Linked DNA regions of Anolis sagrei. The protein of the gene in region 3 interacts with the protein of the main gene of each other region in a pairwise test. Links are inferred from orthologs where the notes say so. Each region holds a gene or a part of one and is shown on either strand. Other genes may lie near its edges. The genes, in order: MXD1, MNT, MLX and MXD4.

Evidence for each region.
Region 1: the proteins of MLX (region 3) and MXD1 interact in a two-hybrid assay, tested with the Homo sapiens proteins (2 studies listed by BioGRID and IntAct). The link is inferred for Anolis sagrei from reciprocal best matches to the Homo sapiens genes MLX and MXD1.
Region 2: the proteins of MLX (region 3) and MNT interact in a two-hybrid assay, tested with the Homo sapiens proteins (2 studies listed by BioGRID and IntAct). The link is inferred for Anolis sagrei from reciprocal best matches to the Homo sapiens genes MLX and MNT.
Region 4: the proteins of MLX (region 3) and MXD4 interact in a two-hybrid assay, tested with the Homo sapiens proteins (2 studies listed by BioGRID). The link is inferred for Anolis sagrei from reciprocal best matches to the Homo sapiens genes MLX and MXD4.

What each region holds. Positions count from the first base shown.
Region 1 is NC_090027.1:24,782,028-24,789,435, reverse strand, and holds the start of MXD1 (max dimerization protein 1), read left to right. Parts: upstream 1-4,397; 5' UTR 4,398-4,496; coding exon 4,497-4,575; intron 4,576-7,408. UniProt on the Homo sapiens protein: Component of a transcriptional repressor complex together with MAX. In complex with MAX binds to the core DNA sequence 5'-CAC[GA]TG-3'. Antagonizes MYC transcriptional activity by competing with MYC for MAX binding.
Region 2 is NC_090031.1:25,878,608-25,885,719, forward strand, and holds the start of MNT (max-binding protein MNT), read right to left. Parts: upstream 3,022-7,112; 5' UTR 2,557-3,021; intron 2,546-2,556; exon of another isoform or gene 2,287-2,545; intron 1,801-2,286; 5' UTR 1,747-1,800; coding exon 1,674-1,746; intron 1-1,673. UniProt on the Homo sapiens protein: Binds DNA as a heterodimer with MAX and represses transcription. Binds to the canonical E box sequence 5'-CACGTG-3' and, with higher affinity, to 5'-CACGCG-3'.
Region 3 is NC_090026.1:51,084,808-51,092,470, forward strand, and holds the start of MLX (max-like protein X), read right to left. Parts: upstream 3,004-7,663; 5' UTR 2,959-3,003; coding exon 2,911-2,958; intron 1-2,910. Other genes in the region: ATP-dependent RNA helicase DHX8, read left to right, coding at 5,617-5,722. UniProt on the Homo sapiens protein: Transcription regulator. Forms a sequence-specific DNA-binding protein complex with MAD1, MAD4, MNT, WBSCR14 and MLXIP which recognizes the core sequence 5'-CACGTG-3'. The TCFL4-MAD1, TCFL4-MAD4, TCFL4-WBSCR14 complexes are transcriptional repressors.
Region 4 is NC_090023.1:142,409,349-142,416,603, reverse strand, and holds the start of MXD4 (max dimerization protein 4), read right to left. Parts: upstream 3,009-7,255; 5' UTR 2,988-3,008; coding exon 2,924-2,987; intron 2,776-2,923; coding exon 2,688-2,775; intron 1-2,687. UniProt on the Homo sapiens protein: Transcriptional repressor. Binds with MAX to form a sequence-specific DNA-binding protein complex which recognizes the core sequence 5'-CAC[GA]TG-3'.

The DNA.
Region 1 (7,408 bases), on a different chromosome or scaffold from region 3:
TTTATGTGAACCGTCCAAGGACCCTACAAGATTTGAAGACCAACATCCAGGAAGAAATTGCCAACATAACGCCTGCTATGCTGGCAAGAGTCATAACAAACGGCAGAAATCAGTTTACTCAGTGTATGGAGAATGGGAGACGTCACCTACCTAATTTGATCTTCAAAACTACATAAAACAACACTTTTATAATGCGCCTACATTAAAAAAAATTTAAAATTCTGATTCATACAATGGGTTTTATTAAGTTTTGAAAAAAGGAAGTTATGCTGCCTCACCCTGTATAAAATAATAATTGTTCGTTCGTTCGTTTCCGACTCTTCATGACTTCGTGGACCATAAGAATAATATAATAACGCTAACTCAGGGATGGCCTGTGTGCATGTATTAATACTAATGATATAATAAAATACAAATACTAATTATAATATAAGATTCCCCTCTCTTCCTGTTGTCTCAACCCTGTTCTTCACTGGTGAGTCCTTTGCAAGTTGGATATTTTACCTTGGGATGGCCTGCATTGTGTCCTTCCGCCTCTAATTTGAGGGAGGCGTGATCCAGATTAAACTCGCCAGCTTGGTTTCCTGTGACCTAGAATAGCAATGGGAGATATGCCTCCCACTCACCAGGAGATGGAGGGAGAAAGAGTGAGAGAGTCCTGAAACCAATCCGGAGCCAAGCTGGTGGAGCCTCCAAAGAGCACAAAACCCTGTAGAAGGGGTTTCAGGGTGTTCCTGTTTCCTGGCGTTTGCTTATTGAGAAGCGGTTTGAAAACTTATTAAAAGAAAGGTGGGCCCAAACTCGCCAAGGGCTTTCTGGATGCCATCACTGCTTTATTTATGTTTTGATGTATAATGCCACAAAATTCTCAAGTTGTGAGAGACCCGGCCACCTCCCACTCGAGGCCAGCCCCCTTATGAGGTGGTTCCTTTGTAATGGCCAGTATGGCCTAATACAGGAGAGGCCAAGCAGAAAGGGGGCGCACGATCCCAAGGGAGTGCCCGCCTGCCAGCCTGTGTTCCTTCACTGCAGCCAATCTTTGTGGGCTGCTTAATGTTGGCCCAGTTCACCTGTCCGAACGTATTCTCTCCTATGAACCATCAAGATTGTTAAGATCTTCTGGTGAGGCCCTGCTCTCGGTCCCGACATCTTCGCAGGCGCATCTGGTGGGGACGAGAGACAGGGCCTTTTCTGTGGTGGCCCCTCGGCTATGGAATTCCCTCCCAAATGAAATTAGATCTGCCCCCTCCCTCCTAACCTTTAGGAAGATAGTGAAAACCTGGCTGTGCAACAAAGCTTTTGCGGAATGATGTCTGAAACCGGCAATCGACTAACGGTACTGATCACAATATATGGACTGGACATACGGACTGAGTTGGACACGATTTTATCCTGGCAAACGGATTTTATGTAATTTTATGTAATGTAATTGGTAACTTAATGTTGTGTATTATGTTTTAGATTTTCAGTGTTAACATTGAATCTTTGCTGTTAGCCGGCCTGAGTCACTCTGCAGAGGTAGAGAAGATCGGGGTATTAAAGTTTTAAATAAATAATGTATATATATAAAATTGCTCTGTGCATAATGAGTACCTTAAAAACAAAAGAACCAATGAATGAAATCACACCAAATTTGGCAACAAAACGTCTCACAACACAAGGAGTGACCATCACTCAAAAAATTATGATTTTGTCATTTGGGAGTTGTTGTTGCTGGGATTTATAGTTCACCTACAATCAAAGAGCATTTTGAACTCCATCAACAATGGAATTGAACCAAACTTGACACACAGAACTCCCATGACCAACAGAAAATACTGGAAGGGTTTGGTGGGCATTAATCTTGAGTTTGGGAGTTGTAGTTCACCTACATCCAGAGAGCACTGTGAACTCAAACAATGATGGATCTGGACCAAACTTGACACAAGCACTCAATACGCCCAAATATGAACACAGATGGAGTTTGGAGGAAATAGACCTTGACATTTGGGAGTTGTAGTCACTAGGATTAACAGTTCACATACAATCAAAGAGCATTCATCTCCTTCTATGAACCGGCATGAACTCTTAAGATCTTCCGGGGAGACGCTCCTCTCGGTCCCACTACTGTCTGAAGCGCGGTTGGTGGGGAAGAGAGAGAGGGCCTTCTCAGTGGTGCCACCCCATCTCTGGAACTCCCTTCCAAGGGAAATAAGACAGGCCCCAAAAGTTCTGATGTGAGAGGTGGCATGTAAAGGATTATAGGGTAAGTGCAGTGTGCAGCAATCTCAATTCTAATAAAGTGCTTCTGGACTTGTTATTGGAGTTTTTCTATTCTGGAAAGGCACATCGGAACAGCCAGGTCTTCAAGTTCTTTCTAAAGACTGCCAATGTAGGGGCCTGTCTAAGATCTTTTGGGGTGGTGTTCCAGAGTCGGGGGGCCACCACAGGAAAGGCCCTGTCTCGCGTGCCCACCAATCACGAGCAGGGCCTCTCTGGATGAACGAAGTGAACGCGTGGGTTCATAAACGGAGATGTGGTCACACAGGTAGGATGGTCCCAAACTGTTCAGGGCTTTGTAGGTAAGCACTTGCACCTTAAATTGGGCTCGGAAAATAAACGGCAGCCAGTGGAGCTCCTTAAACAGGAGGGTTGACCTCTCTCTTAATGCAGCTGACACTCAGCCAGCTGCGCCACAATCCCAGTGCGCATTTTGTTTTTTTAATCTTATAGTTTTATGCATATTTTGTTTTTTTAATCTTATAGTTATGTTGTTTTTACTTTATTTGTTCTGCGATTTTTATCTGGGAACCACTCGGGGAGATAGAGCGGTATATAAATAAAGTTTTATTATTATTATTCTGAACCCCACGAACGACAGAATCGGGGCAAACTTCCCATACAGAACCTCCATGACCAACAGAAAATACTGAAGGCCATTCAATCCAACTCCCTTCATCAGGGCAAGAAAATGTAATCAAAGCCCTCCTGCCATAGATATAGATAGATATGATTCACACACAGAGAGAGATAGTATCCTAGATTTGAAAGGGATTCCTAAAGAAGGACAATGATACGTTGCATGTTCCATAGTAGGCAAACCAGACAGTCTCCACATCAACACTGACAAACAGCAAGAAATACTGTTTACCCACAAGCATAGAGACATTACATATATTAGAAACCAACACTTTCTCATTACTATATTTTCCAGATCAACAGACTGGGCCACAGCAACGCGTGGCAGGGGACGGCTAGTAAATAATAATTATTATTATTATTATTGTCGAAGGCTTTCATGGCCGGAATCCATGGGTTGTTGTAGGTTTTTCTGGGCTATATGGCCATGTTCTGGAGGCAATTTTTCTCCTGACGTTTCGCCTGCATCTATGGCAAGCATCCTCAGAGGTAATGAGGTCTGTTGGAACTAGGAAAAATGGGTTTATATATCTGTGGAATGACCAGGGTGAGACAAAGGACTTGTTTGCTGGGGCTAGCTGTGAATGTTTCAACTGATCACCTTGATTTGTATTCAATGGCTTGGAAGCGCCTGGGGGGAATCTTTTGTTGAGAGTGATTTCATGTGCCTGTTTGTTTCCCCTCTGTTGTTTTGCTGCTGTAATTTTTGAGTTTTTTAATACTGGATACATTCACAGCTAGCCCCAGCAAACAAAAGTCCTTTGTCTCACCCTAGTCATTCCACAGATATATAAACCCATTTTTCCTAGTTCCAACAGACCTCACTACCTCTGAGGATGCTTGCCATAGATGCAGGCGAAACGTCAAGAGAAAATGCCTCTAGAACATGGCCATATAGCCTGGAAAAACCTACAACAACCCAATAATAATAATGTCAGGCAGGCCTTGTCTGTTGCCTTTTTGCAATAGAGTCCCCGAATCCCCTGGCAGTTCCCTTCTTTGCTTCCTTGGCCCAGGCCCAGTTCCATTTCAGATCCGCTCCGGCAGCCGAGCGCTGATTGGTCCGCCAAACTGGCAGGAACACGTGGACAGCGGGCGAGGCGGAAGGCAGAACAGCAGGAACAAGCAGTGGGCGTGGCCTGAATCAGGAAAAAACCCTGACAAGAAAAAAAAGCTTCGGTCGAGCCAATCAGCGCTTGCCTTTGAAAACTCCCGACCAATGGGAGTCCGGGATTAATAGGAAGGCGGAGTGTGCGTGCGTCCACAAGCACTTGGGGGAGTGGGCGGGGCTAGAAAAGCCTTTTAACACCAAGAAACAAACAACATGGGCCCGACGGAGGAAGGCGGCCAATGGGAGCCGAGTTCCGCGAACAGGGGAGGGGCGGAGCGACTCGTGGCAGCGCGTTTCCTCCAATCAGCGAAAACATGACAGGCTCCACGCAACCAAGCCTGCCCCCCGCCGCAGCCAAAGCCGCAGGCCCCGCCCCCTTGGGGGCGGGGCCTGCGGCTTTGGCTGCGGCCGGGGGCAGGCTTGGTTGCGTGGAGCCTGTCAGGCTGAAGGGAGGTAAACACTCTCTCCGAGGAAGGAAGGAAGGAAGATGGCGACCGCCGCCCAGGTGCGCGAGAACATCCGGATGCTGCTGGAGGCGGCGGAGTTCCTGGAGAGGAGGGAGAGGGGTAGGTAGGCCTGTTGTTGTTGTGCTTGGCCCGGGCCCGCTTCGGCCCTCACTCCTGGCGTTTGGGACTACAACTCCCACAATTCCTCACAGCCTACCGGGCCAGACCTGCTCCCCACGAAATCAGCCTCACAATAGGGTAGAAAGGGACCCCCAGGGGCCACCAAGAGCCGCCCAGGCCAACGCCAGGCAGGAAAGTAGAATTACTAGAGTATTATTATTATTCCTTGAAGGAGCTGGGGGTGGTGACGACTGACAGGGAGCTCTGGCGTGGGCTGGTTCATAAAGTCAGGAAGAGTCGGAAACGGCTGAACGAATGAACAACATTATTATTAGTATTCCTCGAAGGAGCTGGGGGTGGTGACGACTGACAGGGAGCTCTGGCATGGGCTGGTTCATGAAGTCAGGAAGAGTCGGAAATGACTGAACGAATGAACAACAACAGCATTATTATTATTATTATTATTATTGGGTTGTTGTACAATACATTATTCGACAATACATTATTATTGTTATTATTCCTTGAAGGAGCTGGGGGTGGTGACGACTGATAGGGAGCTCTGGCATGGGCTGGTTCATGGAGTCAGGAAGAGTCGGAAACGACTGAACGACTGAACAACAACATTATTATTGTTATTATTATTCCTTGAAGGAGCTGGGGGTGGTGACAACTGACAGGGAGCTCTGGCATGGGCTGGTTCATGAAGGTCACAAAGAGTCGGAAACGACTGAACAACATTATTGTTGTTGTTATTATTCCTTGAAGGAGCTGGGGGTGGTGACGACTGACAGGGAGCTCTGGCGTGGGCTGGTTCATGAGGTCACAACTGAACGAATGAACAACAACAACATTATTATTATTATTACTACTACTACTACTGTAGCATAATTATTATTCCCAGGCAGGAAAGGCAGCGCCCGATCCCTCCCGACAGATGGCCACCCAGCCATAGATGTGGTAGATCGAAAGTTATTTCACGTATATTAGAAATATCCTAATCCTAGAGTGGAAAGAGCCGCCCAGGCCAACACCCAGGCATCGTCATCATCGAATCCCAGAGTTGGAAGGGACCCCAAAGGCCACCCAGCCCAACCTCTTTTACTCTGTTGAGCCCTCCTGACAGATGGTCACCCTGCCTCTGCTACATCATCATCATTATTACAGTTGGAAGGGACCCCAAAGGCCACTCAGCCCAACCTCCTTTACTCATCATCATCATCATAATTTAATTACTTATTAATCGCCCTCCATCCAAGATGCTCTAGGCGATTTACAAGCTAAAATTGAAAAAGGATAAAAATACTCTACTGAGCCCTCCTGACAGATGGTCACCCTGCCTCTGCTACATCATCACCATTATTACAGTTGGAAGGGATCAATTTAAACATACAATAATAAACATGAGATACAATAACAAGCTTAGAAGTAATTCAAATAGTTAATTAATGTGTGTGTGGGGGGGGGGGTGTTAATTCATCCCTGCCCCTTTCCCTCCCTCTGTGTTCTGTGGCCCGTGGGATTGAGCCCTTTGCAACTCCTTCCCCTGAAATACAGGCCTCACTACGTGCCTTGCAGGAGGAGGATTCACACTCAGCTCTCCAGATCAGAAAGGACCTGGCACTTGCTTTGAGGCATTTGCTTTGACATTTGGAGGAGTTCCCTTCCTTGCCTTCCTTCTTTCCTCCCACAGATTGTTATGAGGGGTCTTTTGTATGTGTGTGTGTGTTGGGGGGGGGGGGGCTCTACCGCTCGCAGCCTCCCCCCTCCCCCTCCTCTTCCTCCCCCTCCTCCTCTGCCATTTGCAAATACAAAGCCATGTTGGCCTGCTGATGCAGTCTCAAAGAAACAAGGGCTCCAGGATGGAGCTTTGTGGTGCCTTTAAGCCCAGTGGGTTCATGTGGTTTCAGCACTGTGTTTTTCATGGATTCAGAGCTGCTTCATGGTGGTGCTGAAATAAACCCGTTTTGGGAGCGCACCAAAGATCTGGTTTCTCTCTTTCTCCTCCTCCTCTCCCTTTCTCAGTAGGTTTCCTTTCTTTGTGGTGGTGGTGGTGGAGGAGGAGGAGGAAAGAAAGACCTGTTTTCTTGACGTGATTTTCCCTCCCTCCTTCTCGCCCAGTCGCCTTGGCCAGGGAGCGAAAGGTAGAGAAGATGCGCTGCTTGACTCCCTCCCCCCCCCCCCTTTCCTTATTGTTTGCTTGGGCCTTATTTATGGAGTCTTTGGGTTTTTGTCCCCCCCTGCCGCCCAAGACTCAAAACATTTCCAGTTGCCAGGCCCCATTAGGGCAGACCTATTAAATGAATATTATTATTATTATTATTATTATTATTATTATTATTATTTTACTGACACAAAAGCACAGTATGTCACAGCAAACGAGATCTATATGCTGGATTTCGTATCACAAAATCACAAGTTGAACATTTCCCAAGCGTCTAGGACTGTGTGTTGTATTTATTACTAGCCGTCCCCTGCCACGCATTGCTGTGGCCCACATGGGGATTCTGTGTGGGAGGTTTGGCCCAATTCTGTTGTTGGTGCGGTTCAGAATGCTCTGTGATTGTAGGTGAACTATAAATCCCAGCAACTACAATTCCCAAATGTCAAGATTCTGTTTTCCCCAAACCACCAGTGTTCACATTTTGGGCATATTGAGTATTCGTGTAGAGTTTGGTCCAAATCCATCATTGTTTGAGTCCATAGTGATCTCTGGATGTAGGTGAACTACAACTCCAAAACCAAAGGACACTGCCCACCAAACTCTTCCAGTATTTTCTGTTGGTCATGGGAGAACGATGTGCCAAGTTTGGTTCAATTCCATCGTTGGTGGGGT
Region 2 (7,112 bases), on a different chromosome or scaffold from region 3:
GATGTAATATTACTAATAATATTACAATATAATGGATTGTGTAATATAGTAATATACAATACTGATATTGTACTATGCTAATAATATAATATATTGTATGCAAATATATTTTGTAGGCCACTCTTGAGTCCCCTTCGGGGTGAGAAGGGAGGCATATCCATGCCGTAAATAATTTTTTTTAATATGATATATTAATATATTACTACGGTATATTAACAATATTAATATAATATACAATTATGAACACTATAATAATTAATATAATAATAATCTATTATCAATATCCCTTCACTTCCTATGATGGTTAATATTATGCTGACAGCCAATTGAAATGAAGATAGCGGGGAGGGGGGCATTGCAAAGAAACTGCTAATATTAGTCACATTAAATAGATTTTAATAGATAATATATTATTATGAATATCCCTTCAATGCCTATGAGGGTTATTGTAATGCTGATATTAATATATTTTTTGTGTGTCAGGAGTGACTTGAGAAACTGTATAATAATAGAATATTAAATCCTTATTAATAATAATATATTACATAAAAACAATATCATAATAATAATAATATAATAAATCCTTATTAATAATAATATAATAAAATAACAATATCCTAATAATAATATAATAATAAATCTTTATTAATAATATAATAATATAACATAATATTATCCTAATAATATAATATAAATATCCCTATTATGCTTATTATTGTGCTGACAGCAAACTGAATAGAAGATAGAGGGGAGGGGAGGCATTCCAAAGAAACTGCTAATATTAGTCACATTAAATAGATATTAATATATTATTATGAATATCCCTTCAATGCCTATGATAGTTATTGTTACGTGGAGCGACGTGAAAAACTGCATCATAATATAATAATAAAGAATAGCAAGACTTACAATAATAATATCCTAACAATAATAATATAATATAATAATATTAACATCCCTATTATGTTTATTACTGTGCTGACAAAGAAACTGCTAATATTAGTCACATTAAATAGATATTAATAGATAATATATTATTTATGAATATCCCTTCAATGCCTATGATAGTTATTGTTATGCTGATATTAATATATTTTGTGTGTGTCAGGAGTGACATGAGAAACTGCATAATAATATAGTATAATAATAAAGAGTGGCAAGACTTACAATAATAATATTATAATATAATATGAATATCCCTATTATGGTTATTATTGTGCTGACAGCCAATTGAAATGAAGATAGAGGGGAGGGGAGGCATTCCAAAGAAACTGACAATACAGTCATATGAGTCTTATTAATTAGATCATAGAATCTTAGAGTTGGAAGAGACCTGGTGGGCCATCCAGTCCAACCCCATTCTGCCAAGAAGCAGGAATATTGCATTCAAATCACCCCTGACAGATGGCCATCCAGCCCCTGTTTTGCAATGTGATTAATTAGGCATTCATCACCATCAGACAAGGGTGGGAATGGCATTTGCAAGTGATGACGTCATGGGACTCCCCCAAAGCTCTTTCTCTCTCTCTCCCAATCCAATTTGAACAATATAATAATAATGAGATTGGGGGAGAAGGTGGAGAAGTGCTCCCCATTTAGGCAGAAGGGAAAAAAGAGGTGCAACCCCTCCCCCCGCATCTGATCCGGGTTGACTCCGGAGTGACTCCACTTACCACGTGCTTTCTGTTGTTGCTGCGCTTGCCATTCCAGGAACCGGGCCGCTTCTAGCAAGGTCTCAATGCTCATTTCTCGGGGTGGGAGTCCCAAAAGGAGGAGCAGGAGCAGGAGGGTGGGGGCAGTCTGAGGATCCCAAAATATATATATATAAGGAAAAATATATAAATATATAGATAGATAGGTATATCTCTCTGTCTCGAATGTGCAAAGAAGGGCTTGGCTTGTTCTGCCAAAGAGGGTCCCTATTGCTGCTGCTGCTGCTGTTGTGGTTCTTCTGGAGGGGAGAGAGCACACCAATCCGGGCTGAAGCCAAGCCTTTTTGGCCCCTTCCGGCCCCCGTTTCCGCGGCCCCCTCCCACCCGACCAGAAGAAGGCTTTGTAACAAGATGGCGATGCGTAACAGAAACACAACAAGAGAGAGAGAGAGAGAGAGGGAGAGACACGGCCCTCTGCTACTATCCCCGCGGGGGGAAGCAAAACCCGGACTGGACTCCTCTCTTAATGGAATTCGAGCCGCGCCAGCCGTTGATGCTTTGAGCGCTCACTCAGGCAACACATGAGGCTGATCCAATTGGTTCAATGTGTCGCCTCGCGCCGCTGTTTCCTCACCTCCCGTCGCTTTGGTTTAAATCACCCATTCCGGGGAGTTCCACCTCCGGGTTTTGCCCCCGATCCTCCCCCCCGCACTGCGTCCGCGTGCTGCTCAATGACGTCACCCGCTCCCTGGCCAATGGCGTGACAGGACAACAAGGCATGGAGCAGCTCCACATGGGCACTCTCCGCCGCGGGCCCCCGCCGGCGCCTCTCTTAAAGGGACAGGACACCTCAAGTCGCGCCCTGGTTCTCTTCCCTTCCCTTGCCTTCTTTTGTTCTACTTACTTCGCTGCTTAGGCTCCTCCTCCTTCGCTTCGTCCTTCTGGCCTTATTTGCATGAAGCCCCTCAAGCCCCGCCCGCTTTCCCTCCTCAAGTGTGAGGAGTGTGAGGCAAGGCTTAGCTCCTCCCCCTGCTGGTGTGAGGAAATGCGGCCTCCTTGGCTTGAAGCGCCTCAAGCCACGCCCTCTTTTCCTCAGCGCGTGCTTGTCTTGTGCTCCGCCCAACCGCCTCGCGCTCTTCCCCCTCCTGATTGGCGGAAATGCGGCCTCATTTGCATGAAGCCTCTCAAGCCACGCCCTCTTTTCCTCAGCGCGTGCTTGTCTTGTGCTCCGCCCAACCGCCTCGCGCTCTTTCCAATCCTGATTGGCGGAAGTGCAGCCTCATTTGCATGAAGCCTCTCAAGCCACGCCCTCTTTTCATCAGACGCAGGGCTGATGTGCTCTGCCCACTCTCCTTGCGCCTCTCCCCCTGCTGATTGGAGGAAGGTGTGGGCTTATTTGCATGAAGCCCCCTCAAGCCACGCCCTTTTTTTCTTCTTTTCCTCTCAGACGCAGGGCTTATTTTATGCTCCGTCCACTCTCCTTGCGCTCTTCCCCCTGCTGATTGGAGGAAGTGCTCTCTCATTTGCATGAAGCGCCCTCTTTTCCACTCAGGCTTGTGCTCCGCCCAACCGCCTCGCGCTCTTCCCCCTGCTGATTGGAGGAAGTGCGGCCTCATTTGCATGAAGCCCCTCAAGCCACGCCCTTTTTTCCTCAGCGCGTGCTTGTCTTATGCTCCGCCCAACCGCCTCGTGCTCTTTCCAATCCTGATTGGCGGAAGTGCAGCCTTATTTGCATGAAGCCCCTCAAGCCACGCCCTCTTTTCATCAGACGCAGGGCTTATCTTATGCTCCGCCCACTCTCCTTGGCCCCTCCCCTGCTGATTGGAGGAAGTGCTACGCCCTCTTTTCAAGCTGCACCCTTTTCCACTCAGCGCGTGCTTGTCTAATGCCCCGCCCAACCGCCTCGCGTTCTTCCCCCTGCTGATTGGAGGAAGTGCGGCCTCATCTGCATGAAGCTCCCTCAAGCCACGCCCTCTTTTCCACTCAGACTCAGGGCTTACCTTATGCTCCGCCCACTCTCCTTGCGCCCCTCCCCCTGCTGATTGGAGGAAGTGCTAGCACCCTCAAGCCCTGCCGATGGAGGACCTTCTTGCGGCAACCCCAGAGGCACTCCAAGTGGCCAGATACTGGTCAAAGGACATTTAACCAAATACCAAATTTGCAAAATCTGTATGGTTTTTTTTTTTCTTTCTTTCTTCTTTTTCCTTTTCTTTTTAATCTCTGTGTTTGTTTTGCTCTGTTAGAATTGTAATACAATGGTTGCTGATGACACGATAAATAAATTCCCCCCAGAGCGTGGCGAGTGGGAGGCGGGGCTTGTCTTATGCCCCGCCCACCTCGCTCTATTCCCCCTGCTGATTTGAGGAAGAGCGGTCTCATTTGCATGAAGCCCCTCAAGCCACGCCCTCTTTTCCTCAGACGCTGGGTTTATCTTATGCTCCGCCCACCCGCCTCTTCCCTCTACTGATTTGAGGAAATGCTATCTCATTTGCATGAAGTGCCCTCAAGCCCCGCCCTCTTTCCCTCAGAGCATGCTTGCCTTATGCCCCGCCCACCCGCCGCTCCCTCTTCCCTCTACTGATTTGAGGAAATGCTATCTCGTTTGCATGAAGCACCCTCAAGCCCCGCCCTTTCCTTCAGTGTGTGCTGAGTAGGAAGCAGGGCTTGTCTTATGCTCCGCCCACGCGCCTCTCCCCCCTACTGATTTGAGGAAGTGCTGCCTCATTTGCATGAAGCCCCTCAAGCCACGCCCTCTTTCCCCAGAGCGTGCTGAGTAGGACGCAGGTCTTATCTTATTGTAGGAACTGAGACCTCATTTGCATGAAGCCCTTCAAGCCCCGCCTTCCTTCCCCAGAGCGTGCTGAGTGGGAGGCGGGGCTTGAATCGTGCCCCGCCCACTCGCCTCGCGCGAGGCAAGGGTGGAGCCATCTGGGACAATCTGTCTAGTCATGGCCGGGTGGGAAGTCAGGAGGCAGCAGGCGCTCTTAAAGGGGCCGCGCCCTATTTCCCTTCCTTAAAGGAGCCGCGCCCTATTTCCGGAGGGAGGGGGGAAGGAGTAAACACGTGAATCCGGAATGCGTGATAAGGACGGGGGGGGGGGGAAGGAATGTGTGCAGCAAAACAGGAAAGGCGGTTTTTGTTGAGTGTGGGTTGCCTCCTGTGGCGTCAGATGAGATCACAGGCAAAACAGTCCAGATCCCAATTGCCTTTGCAGGAAAAAAAGGCAAGTCGAATCCGGATTGCTGGAGAGAATTTGGGAAAGAAAACTAGTAATCACATTTGCCGTTATAATTGCAAAAATAATCTACATAACTAATAAAATAAGCACAATAGTAATAATTACAATAATTACAATAAGAATTGCAGTAATAATTCCAATAAGAATTGCAATAATAATAAGAATTCCAATAAGAATTGCAATAATAATTCCAATAATAAGAATTGCAATAATAATTACAATAAGAATTGCAATAATTACCAGAATAAGAATTGCAATATTTACAGTAAGAATTACAATAATAAGAATTGCAGTAATAATTACAATAACACTTGCAACAATTACTATAAGCATTTCAATAATAATTGCAACAATAATTGAAAAATATTTACAATAAGAATTGCAATTGTAATTGTACTAAGCACAATGACGATAATAGTAATAATATTCGCTACAAGAGTAGTAAGGGCCATACTGTCATAAGATATACTGCTGGCATTATAAACTGGACGCAGGCAGAACTGGACAATTTGGACAGAAAAACAAGAAAACTCATGACCATTCATAATTCACTATATCATCGCAGTGATGTTGACTGGCTCTATCTGCGGGCAGAGGACTTTTACAAGTAAAGCAAGCCGTTGAAGAAGAAAAACACGATGCCCTGGTAGAATATGTCAAGGAAAACCAAGAGCTTGCTTTAATTGAAGTCAATAATCGGAAACTTCTTAAAGCACAGCAGACAAAGAGTCAGTACAAGAAAACTGCACTCCAAACCAGAACTGACAGCTGGCACAACAAAGCCTTACATGGGCAGTTTCTTGACAAAATTGAAGGAAAAGTTAATAAGGAGAAGACCTGGTGATGGCTTACAAATGGAACCCTGAAGAAGGAGACAGAAGGCCTGATTCTTGCAGCTGAGGAGCAAGCCATCAGAACCAATGCCATTAAGTTGAGGATCGAAAAATGCAGACTGTGCAAGGAAGCAGATGAAACCATGGACCATCTCCTCAGCTGCTGCAAGAAAATCGCACAGATGGACTGCAAGCAGAGGCACAACTCTGTGGTCCAGATGATTCACTGGAACTTATGTCACAAGGACCACCTGCCAGCAGTCAAGAATTGGTGGGATCATAAACTTTCAAAGGTCGTGGAAAATGAACATGCAAAAATACTGTGGGACTTTTGAATCCAGACTGACAAAATTTTGGAACGCAACACGTCAGACATCACAATAGTGGAAAAGAAAAAAGTTTGGATTATTGATGTTGCCATACCGGGTGATAGCCGCATTGAGGAAAAACAACAGGAGAAACTCAGCCGTTATCAAGACCTCAAAATCGAACTGCAAAGGCTCTGACATACACCAGTACAGGTGGTCCCAGTGGTCATTGGCGCACTGGGTGCCGTGCCAAAAGATCTCAGCCGGCATTTGGAAACAATAAACATCAACAAAATCATGATCTGTCAACTGCAAAAGGCCACCTGACTTGGATTTATTTATTTATTTGGTTTACTTTTACCCCGCCCTTCTCACCCCGAAGGGGACTCAGGGCGGCTTACACATCCAAGGCACAATTCGATGCCCATAGCATACATCAATAATAAGCAATAAAACAAAATAACAAATTAGCAAACAACAACAACAACAATACATTGCATCTAAACCCGTTAAAACCAATAAAACCAATAAAATTTCATACAAACCGATACAAACCGCTTCTTCCTTCTTGCCAGTCAGTGTTCGCTATCTCATGGTTCAGAGTTTTCTTCCACATTTATCAGTCCACATATATCAGTCCTGCCGGTCCTAATTGCCTGGTTGTCCTATCTAGTTAGCAGATTGCCCGAAGGCCTGGTCCCACAACCACGTCTTTGCCTTTCTCCTAAAGGACAGGAGTGATGTCGATGCCCTGATATCCACTGGGAGTGAGTTCCACAGGTGGGGGGCCACCACTAAGAAGGCCCTGCTCCTCGTCCCCACCAGCCTTGCTTGGGAAAGCGGTGGAGTCGAGAGCAGGGCCCCCTCAGATGATCTTAAATTCTGTGGTGGGATGTAGAGGGAGATATGTTCGGACAGATACGCTGGACCGGAACCGTACAGGGTTTTGTAGGTCAAGACCAGCACCTTGAATTGGGCTCGGAACTGAACCGGCAGCCAGTGGAGCTGACACAGCAGAGGGGTGGTATGCTCTCTGTATGTCGCCCCAGTGAGCAGCCTGGCTGCCGCTCGCTGGACCAGT
Region 3 (7,663 bases):
CATAATGTTTTGTTGCTTAATTTGTAAAATCATAACATAATTTGAGGTTTTAATAGGCTTTTCCTTAATCCCTACTTATTGTCCAACATTTTCGCTTATCCAATGTTCTGCCGGCCTGGTTATGTTGGATAAGTGAGACTCTACTGTACAAAGAAATGTTGCAGTATATCCTTCCTAAAACAAATGCTTGTGTTAAGTTCTGGTATTTCTGCATTAGAAGACTGCTGTTCAGGGGGACCACACCCAGCCTTCCTGTTATGATATATATAAGTAGAAAACTAACCTCAACCCTTGTAAAAGATAACAACACAATGGAAAAGTGTGAGCCAAAATATCAATTTTCTTCTTCTTCAAATATCCCTATGTGGTCCAAATTGGGGTTTAACCTCAGAGCCCCCATTCATAGAATCTTTATTCATTTCTTCCAGGGTGAGGCAGCATAACTTCCTTTTTTAAAATGCGCGCCATTCAGTCGGTTGAAGACGTAGAGGAGTGCTAGTGGTCTCGTTTGAGAGGCGGGAGTATAAAGTTTTGTCCTGACACAGTTCAGTCGCACATCATGCGTTGGAACAGTGAGGAGCGTGCTTTTGCCATTGAGGCCTACTTTTCGAGCGGATTTGGAGTTGTCAGCCCGCTCTCCAGATTTGGCCCCTTGTGATTTTTTTCCTTGGGGAGTTTTTGAAATCCGGTGTTTATGTGAACCGTCCAAGGACCCTACAAGATTTGAAGACCAACATCCAGGAAGAAATTGCCAACATAACAACTGCTATAGGTGGTACTTAACCCCTTACAAAATGTCAAAATGTTATAAAAACACTTCAGACAAATGTTGGAAATGTGGGCAACAAACTGGAACATTTTTCCACATTTGGTGGACCTCTTCAAAAGCAAAAAAGTTTAGGACAGAGATCCATATGGAAATACAAAAAATACTAAATATATAAAAATAGAAAAAGAACCGGTCCCCCCCCCCCCCCCCCCCCGGAATTCCCTGCCTAGGGAAATCAGACAGGCTCCTACTTTGTCCTCTTTCTGGTGTCAACTAAAAAACTTGATATTCCGGTAAGCTTTCAATTAAACAGTCAACCTGTAACTTTTTCCTGCACTTTATGTTTGGCCCTCTTATCATCCACCTCAACACTTTGATGACACTATTCCTAGTCCTATCTACTTGATTGTTGCACTTTCCTTGCGCTCCTCTTCAGGATGTATTGCATGCAAGGCACCTAAACCTCAGCTATATTTTTTCTCAGCCATATTGTTTGATATTGCTTACAATTGTGTTTGTTTTTATATTTTACCTGATGTTTTTAAATGTGTGTTTTATTTGTAATTTTGGGGCTTGTCCTTTGTAAGCCGCCCCGAGTCTCCCTGGGGAGATGGTTGGCGGGGTATAAAAATAAAGTTATTATTATCTATATAAATAAAAATGTAATGTTCGTTTGTGGGATTAACAGAATTCAAAAACTACTGGATGAATTAACATGAAATTTAGACACTATACCCCTAACAGACCAACAAGTGATCACTCATAAATCACCATGCCCCCCCCCCAAAAAAACTGGAAAGGACTTAAAAAAAAACCCAAAAGCTAAATGACAATACAGAAAAAAGGAAGAGGGGGGGAAGGAAGGGGAGAAAGAAGGAAGGAAGGATAGAAAGAAAGAGGGAGGAAAAGAAATCTGGAGGGGGGAAGGAAAGAAAGAGGTAGAGAAGGAAGAAGGAGAGAAGAAAAAAAGGAAAAGGGAAGAGGGAATGAAGGAAGGAGGGAAAAAGGAGAGAAAGAGGTGGGAAGGAAAGAAAGAGGTAGAGAAGGAAGGATGGAAGCAAAAAGTGAAGGAAGGAAAGAGGTAGAGAAGGAAGAAAGGAGAGAAAGGAGAAGGAAAAGAACGGGGGGGTGAGGAAGGAAAGAGGGAGCGAAGGAAAGAAGGAAAGATGGAAGCAAAGAGTGAAGGAAGGAAAGAAAGAGGTAGAGAAGGAAGAAAGGAGAGAAGGAAAGAGGGAGTGAAGGAAGTAGAGAAAGAGAGAGGGAAAGAAAGAATGAAAGAGAGAAGGAAGCATGGAAGCAAAGAGCGAAAGAAGGAAGAAAAGAGGTAGAGAAGGAAGGAAGGAGAGAAAGAGGGAGGGAAAGAAAACGGGAGGGGGAAAGGAAAGAAAGAGGTAGGGAAGGAGAGAGGGAAAGGAAAAGAAGGAAAGAGGGAGGGGAGGAAAGACAGAAGGAAGAATGGAAGCAAAAAAACAAAAGAAGGAAAGAGGTAGAGAAGGAAGGAAGGAGAGAAAGAGAGAGGAAAAGAAAACGGGAGGGGGAAAGGAAAGAAAGAGGTAGGGAAGGAGAGAGGGAAAGGAAAAGGAGGAAAGGAAGGAAAGAGGGAGGGAAGGAAAGACAGAAGGAAGAATGGAAGCAAAAAAACAAAGGAAGGAAAGAGGTAGAGAAGAAAGGAGAGGAAGAGGGGGGGAGAAAAAGGGAGGAAGGAAAGAGGGAGCAAAGGAAGGAGGGAAAGGAGAGAAAGAGGGAGGGAAGGTTGGCCACAGCAATGCGTGGCGGGTACAGCTAGTTATTATTATTATTATTATTAAAAATGGCAACACAAATGGCTGCCAGCCAAATGTAGGCGCAGCAGCTGCTGCTTAAACATCTCCTCAAAACAGGTGAATTGTTTATACTTAAGATTTAATTAAACCCTTTGTAAATCTAAACATAACACAAAGAGGAAGCCCCTCTCTCACGCACTGGCCTAAGGTTAGTTTAGCAGACGGAATGGTGCCAAAGCTGAGGTTTGAAGAGACATTCTTCGTATGCTCAGAGGCTACTTTACATTTCTTCGCCCGAAAGGACAAGGAAGTCCCTGACCTCCACAGGCCTGCGATGCACTTCGAGACCCAGGCCCAGCCCCTCCCAGCTCCACTCACTTTTCCTACCCAAGCATTTTCCGAAGAGACGCTGGACGGTTCCGCCATCTTCCCACAGCTAGGCCACAATGTCACGTGTCCTCCTGGCACTGGCCAATCAGGGCTGGGGGGAGGGTCCTCCCGGAAGAGTCGCGTCGAACTGCAGAGGTTTTTGGGAAAGGTAGTTTTTCCTCTTCTGCCGGACAAATCCTGCAGCCACCTGCTTGTCTTCAACGTCATTTCCTGTTTACTATTGCAATACACCATCCCCAGACCGGAAGTGAGAGTTATCCTGAAAAATTAATGGAGAGGGACAGAAATTGCAGTCACTACGGCTGAATCTAAGCTGCCCTGTAATCCATCTTCAGAATGTGGATAAACTGCATTGATCTGGATTGTAGGCCAGTATAGATTACTATAATCCGATTCAATTTAGTTAATCCACATTCTGAATCTGGATTATAGGCCAGTGAAGATCCAGCCTTTGTCCCCTTTACTACAAGATCCCTCAGCATTTGTTTAATAATATCTTTAGTAAACCACCAATTTTATTTATTAGGAAACCACACAAAGAGTAAGCACAAAATTCATTTCATATTATTATTTATTTATTTATTTATTTACCTTACTTATATACCGCTGTTCTCAGCCCGAAGGCGACTCACAGCAGTTCACAACAAATATGAACAGCAAAAATTCAGTGTTACAGTATAGAAACAGTTAACAACCTAACACATTACACAATTAATAAACAGTTACTACAATACCCATTCACTATCGTCTCGTCATCAAAAACATGTTCCAGATTCGTCATCCATTGTTCCATTCCAGTGTTCATTAACCAATCATTCCACTAATTATTCGAACACCTGCTCAAACAGCCAGGTCTTCACCTTTTTTGTGGAATACCATTAGAGATGGTGCTAGTCTAATGTCCGTAGGAAGGGCGTTCCACAGCCGAGGAGCCACCACCGAGAAGGCCCTATCTCTCGTACCCGCCAGCTGAGCTTGAGAAACAGGCGGGATCGAGAGCAGGGTCTCCCCGGAAGATCTCAAAGTCATATATTTATATCCTGCCCATCACCACCCAAGCAGGGAGCTTTGAGATGGTTGAACAGAAGCTCTCTGAAGCTCTAGGTGCTCTTACTGCCTATTACAGGGAAAACCAGCTGATCCCCAACCCATCCAAAACACAGACATGTGCCTTTCACCTTAAGAACAGACAAGCACCCCAAACTCTGAGGATTGCCCAGGAAGGAATCCCACTGGAGCATTGCAGCACACCCAAATACCTGGGAGTCACTCTGGACCGTGCCCTGACCTACAAGAAGCACTGCCTGAATATCAAGTAAAAAGTGGGTGCTAGAAACAATATCATACGAAAGCTGACTGGCACAACCTGGGGATCACAACCAGATACAGTGAAGACCTCTGCCCTTGTGCTATGCTACTCTGCTGCTGAGTATGCATGCCCAGTGTGGAACTCATTACACCACACTAAAACAGTGGATGTGGCTCTTAATGAGACATGCCGCATTATCACGGGGTGTCTGCGCCCTACACCACTGGAGAAATTACACTGTCTAGCCGGTATCACACCACCAGACATCCGCTGGGAAGAAGCAGCCAATAGTGAAAGGACCAAGGCAGAGACATCTCCAGCTCATCCCCTGTTTGGGTATCAGCCAGCACGTCAACGACTTAAATCTAGACATAGTTTTCTAAGATCTACAGAGACGCTCGCTGGAACACCTCAGCAAGCGAGATTTCAAAAGTGGCAGGCTCAAACCCAGCACCTCAATCTGTGGGTGATACCAGATGAGAGACTCCCCCCTGGGCACACAGAAGACTGGGCGACTTGGAAGGCGCTGAACAGACTGCGCTCTGGCACCACGAAATGCAGAGCCAATCTTAAGAAATGGGGCTACAAAGTTGAATCCACGACATGCGAGTGTGGAGAAGAGCAAACCACTGACCACCTGCTGCAATGCAACCTGAGCCCTGCCACATGCACGATGGAGGACCTTCTTGCGGCAACACCAGAGGCACTCCAAGTGGCCAGATACTGGTCAAAGGACATTTAATCAGCTACCAAGTTTGCAAAATTTGTGTGTTTTTTTTATCTGTTTTTTTGTTTTGTTCTGTTAGAAATGTAATACAGTGTTCTGGTTGTGGATGACACATACATAATAAAATAAAAAATAAAAAAAATACCAGGGTGGGACAAAGGACTCTTGTCTGCTGGAGCTAGGTGTGAATGTTTCAGCTGACCACCTTGATTAGCATTTGATGACCTGGCAGTGCCTGGGGCAATCTTTTGTTGAGAGGTGATTCGATGTGCCTGATTGTTTCCTCTCTGTTGTTTTGCTGTTTTTAATTTTAGAGTTTTTTTTTATGGGAAATCTCTTTTGGCACCTCTCACTTCTAATCTGGAGAGAGGTTTAATTGTAGGCATTGTCAAACTGCGGGCCTCCAATTCCAAAACCATTTTGTTCTATGGTCAGGAATTCTGAGAGTTAGAGGTCCAATCAACGAGAGGACAGAAGTTTGAGGCTGCCTGCTTATGACACCGGAAGTCTGCCGAGAGCGGCATTCTAACCTTTTATAAGTTTAGGGGAATACACCGGAAGTAAGGCGTAATGCGTGCGACGCTCTTACGCTAAGGGACGCACGGAGGGGAGAACCGGAAGCGCGTCTGGTTAGCGGTGGGGGCGGCGGCGTGTTGCCATGGCGGACCCTGTAGAGGAGCTTGCCAAACTCGAGTACCTCTCGCTCGTCTCCAAAGTCTGTACGGAGCTCGACAACCACCTGGGCATCAACGACAAGGACCTAGGTGGGTGCCTGGGTGGCGGGGAGGGACGGGCCCCCATTTTGCGCACCTCCCGGAGCTGGGGAGCCTTCCCTGCCACCTCCTTGTGTCCCTCATCGAGCAGCAGAGCTTCTGTACCAGAATTCCTCAACTTCTGCCCATCCAAGTTGTTTGGACTTCAGTTCCCAGAATCCCTCCTCGTTGACCAAGGCAGCTGAGGCTTCTGGGAGTTGAAGTCCAAAGTCCTGAGAATCTCTGGAAGGCATCCTTGTTCTTATACCAGGCATGGGCAAACTTCGGCTCTCTAGGTGTTTTGGATTTCAACTCCCACACTTCCTAACAGCCGTTGTGGGAGTTGAAGTCCAAAACACCCGGAGGGCCTAAGTTTGCCCATGTATTTATTTGTCGTGTCAGGGCAACCAGTCAATTGTATTATATTTCTAACAGAGCAAAACAAACAGTCAAAACACAAAATTTGCAAGCTTAGTAGTTTAGTAGTAGTAATTTTTATTGATTAGCCCTTAGGCCATATCACAATAAGAAACAGAACAACAAGGCCTGACAAGACCTGATCACACTCCACGTAGAAAGTTAAAATAAGACACTTATAATAATACAGTAAATACATATGATAAGACATGATAAAACTGATAAACTGATCAAGCTGAGTGTATACATCATATTTCATTATCACCCCTACAATTTACCCCAATCAGCCCTACATATGTGGTTCTCAGACGTATTGTTTTGCTTAAGTACAGAGCTGTTTTATACGTTATTTTTGGGTCTTGGCCACACATAAAATATGTTGTTCTGATGTGAGAATCCCAATACATTGTCCGTTTGATATATGGACCAAGGTGGAAGTCTCTCACCTTTTGATACAATTTGCAATCAAACAATGTGTGTGCTATATCCTCAGTTTCGGGTGCCCCGCAGATACAACTCCGTTCATTATAAGGGATGCTGTTAAATCTCCCGTATCTAACCATTGTCTCGAGCTGATCAAATCTGGCTCGCGTGAATACCTCCCTGAGATGTTTTGGTATTTGCATTTTTAGATAATTAGCAGTTTGAAAGGTGAAGTTTAGTAGTTGATTAAATGTCCTTTGACCAATATCTGGCCACTTGGAGTGCTTCTGCTGTTGCTGCAAGAAGGTCCTCCATTGTGCATGTGGCAGGGCTCAGGTTGCATTGCAGCAGGTGGTCAGTGGTTTGCTCTTCTCCACACTCGCATGTCGTGGATTCAACTTTGTAGCCCCATTTCTGAAGGTTGGCTCTGCATCTCGTGGTGCCAGAGCACAGTCTGTTCAGCGCCTTCCAAGTTGCCCAGTCTTCTGTGTACCCAGGGGGGAGCCTTTCATTTGGTATCAGCCATTGGTTAAGGTTCTGGGTTTGAGCCTGCCACTTTTGGACTCTTGCTTGCTGAGGTGTTCCAGCGAGTGTCTCTGTAGATCAGTGGTTCTCAACCTTCCTAATGCCATGACCCCTTAATACAATCCCTCCTGTTGTGGCGACCCCCAACCATAACATTGTTTTTGTTGCTACTTCATAACAGTCATTTTCCTACAGTTATAAATCATAATGTAAATATCCGATATGCAAGATGAATTTTCATTCACTGGACCAAACTGGGCACAAATACCCAATGCACCCACATGTAAATGCTAGTGGGGTTGGGGGAGGATTGGTTTTGTAATTTGGGAGTTGTAGTTGCTGGGATTTATAGTTCACCTATAATCAAAGAGCATTCTGAACTGCACCAGCGATGGATTTGAACCTAATTTGCCACACAGAACTCCCATGACCAACGGAAAACACTGGAAAGGTTTGGTGGGTATTGACCTTGAGTTTGGGAGTTGTAGTTCACCTATGTCCAGAGAGCACTGTGGACTCGTGCAATGGTTGATCTGGACCAAACTTGGCACAAACACTCAATATGCGAAAATGTGAACACTGGTGGAG
Region 4 (7,255 bases), on a different chromosome or scaffold from region 3:
GTCACAATGCTGACCCCTCCATTGAGAAATCAGCTTAGAAAGCTTTTTTTCTTCTCTCTTCTCCTTTAAAAAGGTTTTAAAAACTCATTTATGCACCTTAGCATATTGAGAGGAGGAAGACTAGCACACCTTTATATATATCCATGCCTAGATATTGGACACCTACTTCAGCCTATGGAAATTGTGTGTGACGTTCAATTATGTATTATTTTTAAATATAGTTTTGTAAGCTTTATTTTGAGATTGTGTTTTGTCCACTGTTTAGATTTATTATTGTCTGATTTTGGCATCGAATGTCTGCTGTTTTGTTACTTTTGTGGGAAACCACCCTGAGATAGAGCAGGGTACAAATAAAGTATTATTTTACTGACACAAAAACACAATATGTCATAGCAAACGAGATATATATGCTGGATTTCGTATCACAAAATCACAAGTCAAACTCAAGCGTCTAGGACTGTGTGATGTATTTTCGAATGATGTGCACAAATCCAAGTAAGGTGGCCTTTTGCAGTTGACAGATTGTGATTTTGTCAGTGTTTATTGTTTCCAAATGCCGGCTGAGATCTTTTGGAATGGCACCCAGTGTGCCAATGACCATTGGGACCTCCTGTACTGGTTTATGCCAGAGCCGTTGCAGATTGATTTTGAGGTCCTGATAATGGCTGAGTTTTTCCTGCTGTTTTTCCTCAATGCGACTGTCACCTGGTATGGCAACATCATCTACACTTCTTTCTTTTCCACAATCATGATGTCTGGTGTATTGTGTTCCAAAACTTTGTCAGTCTGGATTCTACCTGAGGCATCTGCAGGGGACCCTGGGCAGATAATTATGTAAAACAGGTAGAAAGTGTTGGAAATCAACCCCACACTGCCCAAGTCCTCAATGAAGAGATGTTACTTAGCATTAGAATAGTCTGAGGGTTTCCCTTCCCCCATGTCTCCTTTATGGAAGTTGGGAATTTATCTGTTTTTCTCTCCTCTGTTTTTGCTCTCATTCTGATTGGTTGTGTAGAATGGATACTTTTCTACAGGAATTTTTTTACTTTAATTTTTCTTACATAGGAATATGTGCTGTGTGCTTTGAGATCACTCTGTGCATGCCTGTCAGGAGAGATGTTGTGCTTGCTGTTTCCCCCCTCTTTTAAAACCTTAGACGAGATGGGTGTTGGAGTAGATCAGACCCAGTTCTTGATTATTAAGAAATGCAGTTATTTCTTATTATTGTAAATAAACCTTTTGTGATTTTTTTTAAAAGATTGGACTCTGCATCTTTGCCTGCCTAAGCTCTTAATTCTTTACAGCCACATCACATTGCACTTCATGCACTGCTCGCTAATGAGCTGAATGCTCAACTTTTAGTATTCTTGTTTGAGAGGCGGGAGTATAAAGTTTTGTCTTGACACAGTTCAGTCACCATCATGCGTTGGAACAGTGAGGAGCGTGCTTTTGCCATTGAGGCCTACTTTTCGAGCGGATATGGAGTGGCTGGCCCGCTCTCCAGATTTGGCCCCTTGTGATTTTTTTTTTAAATCCCCTGTTTATGTGAACCGTCCAAGGACCCTACAAGAGTTGAAGACTAACATCCAGGAAGAAATTGCCAACATAACGCCTGCTATGCTGGCAAGAGTCATGACAAACGCCAGAAATCGGTTTACTCAGTGTATGGAGAATGGAGAATGGGGGACGTCACCTACCTAATTTGATCTTCAAAACTACGTAAAACAAAACTTTAGGTGTGTTTACATTGTAAAAAAAAAATCTGATTCATACAATGGGTTTTATTGAGTTTTGAAAAAAGAAAGTTATGCTGCCTCACCCTGTATAATTGCCAACATAGCGTCTGCAAGTGTCATGACAAACGCCAGAAATTGGTTTACTCAGTGTATGGAGAATGGGGGACGTCACCTACCTAATTTGATCTTCAAAACTTCGTAAAACAAAACTTTAGGTATGCACGCATATTTTTAAAAAAACAATAATATATTTGTGATTCATACAATGGGTTTTATTAAGTTTTGAAAAAAGGAAGTTATGCTGCCTCACCCTGTGGTATGATAGCTGGGTAATGCTTGGAACTTCCAGACCCAGCTATCATACTATTACTGTAGTTTTCCCTAACAGAAAGATTAAATATTTACTGAAAATATATCAGCATGTGGAAGCCTGGTTTTCTCGTTTTCTGGGAAGCATCATCTGCAGAGTAGACTGTAAACATTGAGCAACAGATGGGCGTAAATGTTTAAATCAGCCACTAGGTGGCGTTAAGGTCCAAATGTTTTCGTGGCTCCAACACTAAGCTAAAGCAGGCCTGGGCAAACCTCGGCCCTCCGGGTGTTTTGGACTTCAACTCCCACAATTCCTAACAGCCTACCGGCTGTTAGGAATTGTGGGAGTTGAAGTCCAAAACACCCAGAGGGCCGAGGTTTGCCCAGGCCTGAGCTAAAGAAACCTCATGTAGAGTTGAAGAGGCAGCGTTGGCCGCACAAACACCAGCCGGGGTTGGGAAAGCAGGGCTGGGCAGGAAGCGGCTCCTGCGCGCGTGGCACCGCTCCCCGGAAGTCCCGCCCCCAGACTGGCTCGCGGGGGGCAAGATGGCGGCGAGGGGCCCGCGGGGCCGGCCTCAGGCCCAGCCCCCGCCTTCTCCTCCCCCCTCCTCCCCACACACACAGGGAACGGGGCCTTACCGGTTGTTGGGGGATTTTCCGAACTTCGTTTTCCTTGCGGGGTGGTCGCTTTCGAAAGGCAAGACCGAGGCGTAGCCGTGCTCCGCTTCTGTGAGGGAAGGAAGAGCCAAACACCCAATAAACGCCCTATTATTCCCACAAAACAACACCAAACAGGAGGGAAGGGACGAGTGGAGAGGGAGGGAGGGCCTGCAAGGCTGGCACAGAAGACCCTTCAACGCCAGGCAGATATTCACCTCTTTCCCTCCTTTCCAAGTATTCCGCGGCTTCCAGCAGCATCAGCAAGGAATTCCACTCCATCTTCCCAGGGGCCGGAGAGCTCTCCCTCAGGAACGGCAAGCCGCAGGGGGAAAACTTAAAGAGTTCGCGAGAGCAACGGGCCTTGCAAAGTCTCTCTCAACAAATCAAGTCTTCGGTGCCATGGCTGTCAGGTTGATGGGCAGCTGCCCCAGCCAGTTAATAACATGCCGTGCGAGCTCCTGAGCCTGACAGAACCAATCAGGTACAAGCCCAGGGTGTTGAGGCTGAGAGAATGTTGACAGTTCTGGAGTCCCACCCTCTGATTGGCTGGCCACGAAGGCAACAACTTCGAAGCGAGGGCTTAGCAACAGCACGTGAGGGCCCAGCCCCGACTTCCCTGACTGGCCGGCTGGCTCCATGCAAAGGAGGCAGTGGCGCGTGATTGGACGCGCCGGGTCTATGCAAATAAGGCTCGCTCGCATAAAAGGGATGCTCTGAGGGAGGAGCGCGTGATTCGCGACGGGGGCGAAGCCAATCTTGAGCTCGCAGGAAAGGCTGATTCGCCTTCCTTGAGAATAAGCCACTTTGCTTCATAACAGGACATAGAAGAGTTATTTGTAAACTAAGAACTGCGTTGCTAGCGTCTATTACGGTGATGTGGTAGCATGTTTCCGTATCCCAGTGTTATTAAGGTGGTAAAGGCAAGTTAATTTATTTTACAATGCAGCCCAATACAGGCCCACGGATATGATATATATAAAAATCTCCCAGGGCTCTTCCAGACAGGCCCTATATCACAGGATTCCGATCCCAGGTATTCTGCTTTATGAGTCCGCACTGTCAAATAATCTGGGATAAACAAAGTCAGATCCTGGGATATAGAGCCTGTCTGGAAGGGCCCAAAGAGTGGCTCTTGTCAGCGTTTTCAGCTTGGTCTGTTCCAATTCTTATTATTCCTAGATACACTTTACTTTGGAGTCCCCGGTGGCGCAGTGGGTTAAAGCACTGAGCTGCTGAGCTTGTTGATCGAAAGGTCGCAGGTTCGATTCTGGGGAACGGCATAAGCTTCTGCTGTCAGCCCTAGCTTCTGCCAACCTAGCAGTTTGAAAACATGCAAATGTGAGTAGATCAATAGGTACTGCTCTGGCGGGAAGGTAACGGCGCTCCATGCAGTCATGCCGGCCACATGACCTTGGAGGTGTCTATGGACAACGCTGGCTCTTCGGCTTAGAAATTGAGATGAGCACCACACCCAGAGTCAGACATGACTGGACTTAATGTCAGGGGACTACCTTTACCTACACTTTACTTACTTAGGCGATCCCTCATTGGACGAGTAGGATAGCCTTTCATAATCAGTATTCTTGTGGATCCGTAGGTGGCTGTGGAGCCCTATTCTTGACCTGCATCTTCTCCCACAGTGAGGGCATTGGTTTCCAGGTGGAAGGCGGTCTTGGTTGGGGCTGGCTTGACGCGCCTTCCTCCTGGTACATTTCTCTCTTTCACTCTCCATTCGTGCCTCTTCAAATTCTGCAGCACTGCTGGTCACAGCTGACCTCCAGCTGGAGCCCTCAAGGGCCAGGGCTTCCCAGTTCTCCGTGTCTATGCCAGAGATTTTAAGGTTGGCTTTGAGCCCATCTTTAAATCTCTTTTCCTGTCTCCCAACATTCTGTTTTCTGTTCTGGCTTCAAGCTACAATAAAGGAGATTCCATCTGAACATGAGGAAGAACTTCCTGTGAGAGCAGTTCAGCAGTGGAACTCTCTGCCCTGGAGTGTGGTGGAGGCTCCTTCTTTGGAAGCTTTTAAACAGAGGCTGGATGGCCATCTGTCAGGGGTGATTTGAATGCGACATTCCTGCTTCTTGGCAGGGGGTTGGACTGGATGGCCCATGAGGTCTCTTCCAACTCTATGATTCTAAGATTCTATATACGCACACAAAACACATATACACAGACTGGGCCACAGCAACGTGTGGCAGGGCATGGCTAGTCTATATATATAACACTATGGCAGATAATTCACATCTGCTTTGAAATGGATTATGAGTCTACACCGCTATATAATCCAGTTGAAAGATAATCTGGATTTAATACAGCAGTATAGAAGGGGCCCATTTAACACGTTTCTTGTTCCTGGGTTACAAATGTCATTTTCTAGGGCCCTATAGAAATATAAAATAGTATCAGTATGAGGGAGGAAAGGAAGAGGGAAAGGCAGGCATCCTTCAGCACAAAGGCTTCCGGAAGCAAGGATCTCTTTTCCCATTGGCCGAACAAGTCAGTTCCACGCGACAGTCGTGCGCCGTTACCATGGAGACCAGCCAATCGAGACCTCGACGCTGTAAACATTGTGCAAAGGCGCGTCTTCTGAAGCCACGCGATATTTCAGAAGCCCCCCAAAGTCACATTCCCGTTGCTTTCCCCCAGTTGCTAAGCAACTAGTAGCAACAGACACCGCCGTTGTGTTTCCCTTCGGGCTGCCTTCGCGGTGACTGCCCTGTCGCTTCGCTTAGGAGCGGGTCCCGTGGTAAGAACAGCCTGCCTGCTCTTTGTCCTTCGCAGGACCCAAAGGGCAGGGAATCGTTTTCCGGGAAGGGCGAGCCGGCTTCCTGAGGGCAGCCTCGTCACTCGTGCAGTGGGATTCCTGCTCATCAAAAACATCCCAGTTAAGTTTAAGCAGAAGGTCGCCCTTTCCACGCTGCCATATAATACAGATTATCAAAGGGCCCTTCCACACAGCCATGTAAACCAGAATATCAAGGCAGAACATCCCATGGTACCTGCTTTGAACTGGTTTACCTGAGGCCCCTTCCACTCAGCTAAATAAAATCCCACATTATCTAATTTGAATTGGAATATATGGCAGTGCTTACTCAGATAACTCATTTCAAAACAGATATTGCAGTCCAGACTCATACAGGGTGAGGCAGAATAACTTCCTTTTTTCAAAACTTAATAGAACCCATTGTATGAATCAGAAATATTTTTTTTATAATGTAGGCATATATCTAAAGTTTTGTTTTACGTAGTTTTGAAGATCAAATTAGGTAGGTGACGTCCCCCATTCTCCATACACTGAGTAAACCGATTTCTGGCATTTGTCCTGACTCTTGCCAGTAAAGCAGGTGTTATGTTGGCAATTTCTTCCTGGATGTTGGTCTTCAAATCTTGTAGGGTCCTTGGACGGTTCACAGAAACACGGGATTAAAAAAAAACCCATAGAAAAAAATCACAAGGGGCCAAATCTGGAGAGCGGGCCAGCCACTCCAAATCCGCTCGAAAAGTAGGCCTCAACGGCAAAAGCATGCTCCTCACTGTTCCAACGCATGATGGCAACTGAAATGTGTCAGGACAAAACTTATACTCCCGCCTCTCAAACGAGACCACTAGCGCTCCTCTACGTCTTCAACTGACTGAATGGCGCGCATTTTAAAAAGAAGTTATGCTGCCTCACCCTGTATAATGCAGTTCAATGCAGTTCAACTGTATACGGAAACTGCATTATAGGGCAGTCCAGAGCCCTTCCACACAGCCTTATATCCCAGAAAATCAAGGTAAAAAAATCCCAGTGTGGACTCAGATAACCCAGGGCCCTTCCCCACAGCCCTATATCCCAGAATATCAAGGCAGGAAATTCCACAATATCTGTTTTGAACTGGGTTACCTGAGTCCACACTCAGATAATGTGGGATTTTCTGTCTTGATATTCTGAGATATAGGGCTGTGGGAAAGGGTTAGAGTCCACACTGCCATATATCCCAGTTCAAAGCAGGTAATATGGGATTTCATACAGCTGTGTGGAAGGGGCCAGAGTTTATAATCCACGTTACTGCTTTGAACCGGATTATATGAGTCTAGACTTCTGTATAATCCAGTTCAAAGCAGATAATCTGGATTTTATATGGCAGTGTAGAAAGGGGCCTAGAACTTTATTTTGAGGACTCAGAGAGACTTCAAGGATGCTATGTGTACCACTACAAATAGTCATGTGGAGATCAAGTGAAAACCACTTGCATCATATTTGTAAACAGAAGGCAGCCTTTGGATCGAAATTATTGTACGGACGTTCCACACAGCTATGTGACTCAGAGGGCAGATAACCACAATATCTGCTTTGAACTGGATTATCTGAGTCCACACTGCAATATAATCTAGTTAAATGTTATACAGCTGTGTGGAAGGGTCCTCATGTTTATTCAAAAAAAGTAACATTTTCTGCTAATGTGGAAGATTTGCTGTTTGTTGAATTGTTTCTTGTTGGGGGTGTTTTGAAAATTGGAGTTCCAGACTGTTTTGCTTCTGGAGGGATCGCTAATCCTCCAGAAGAC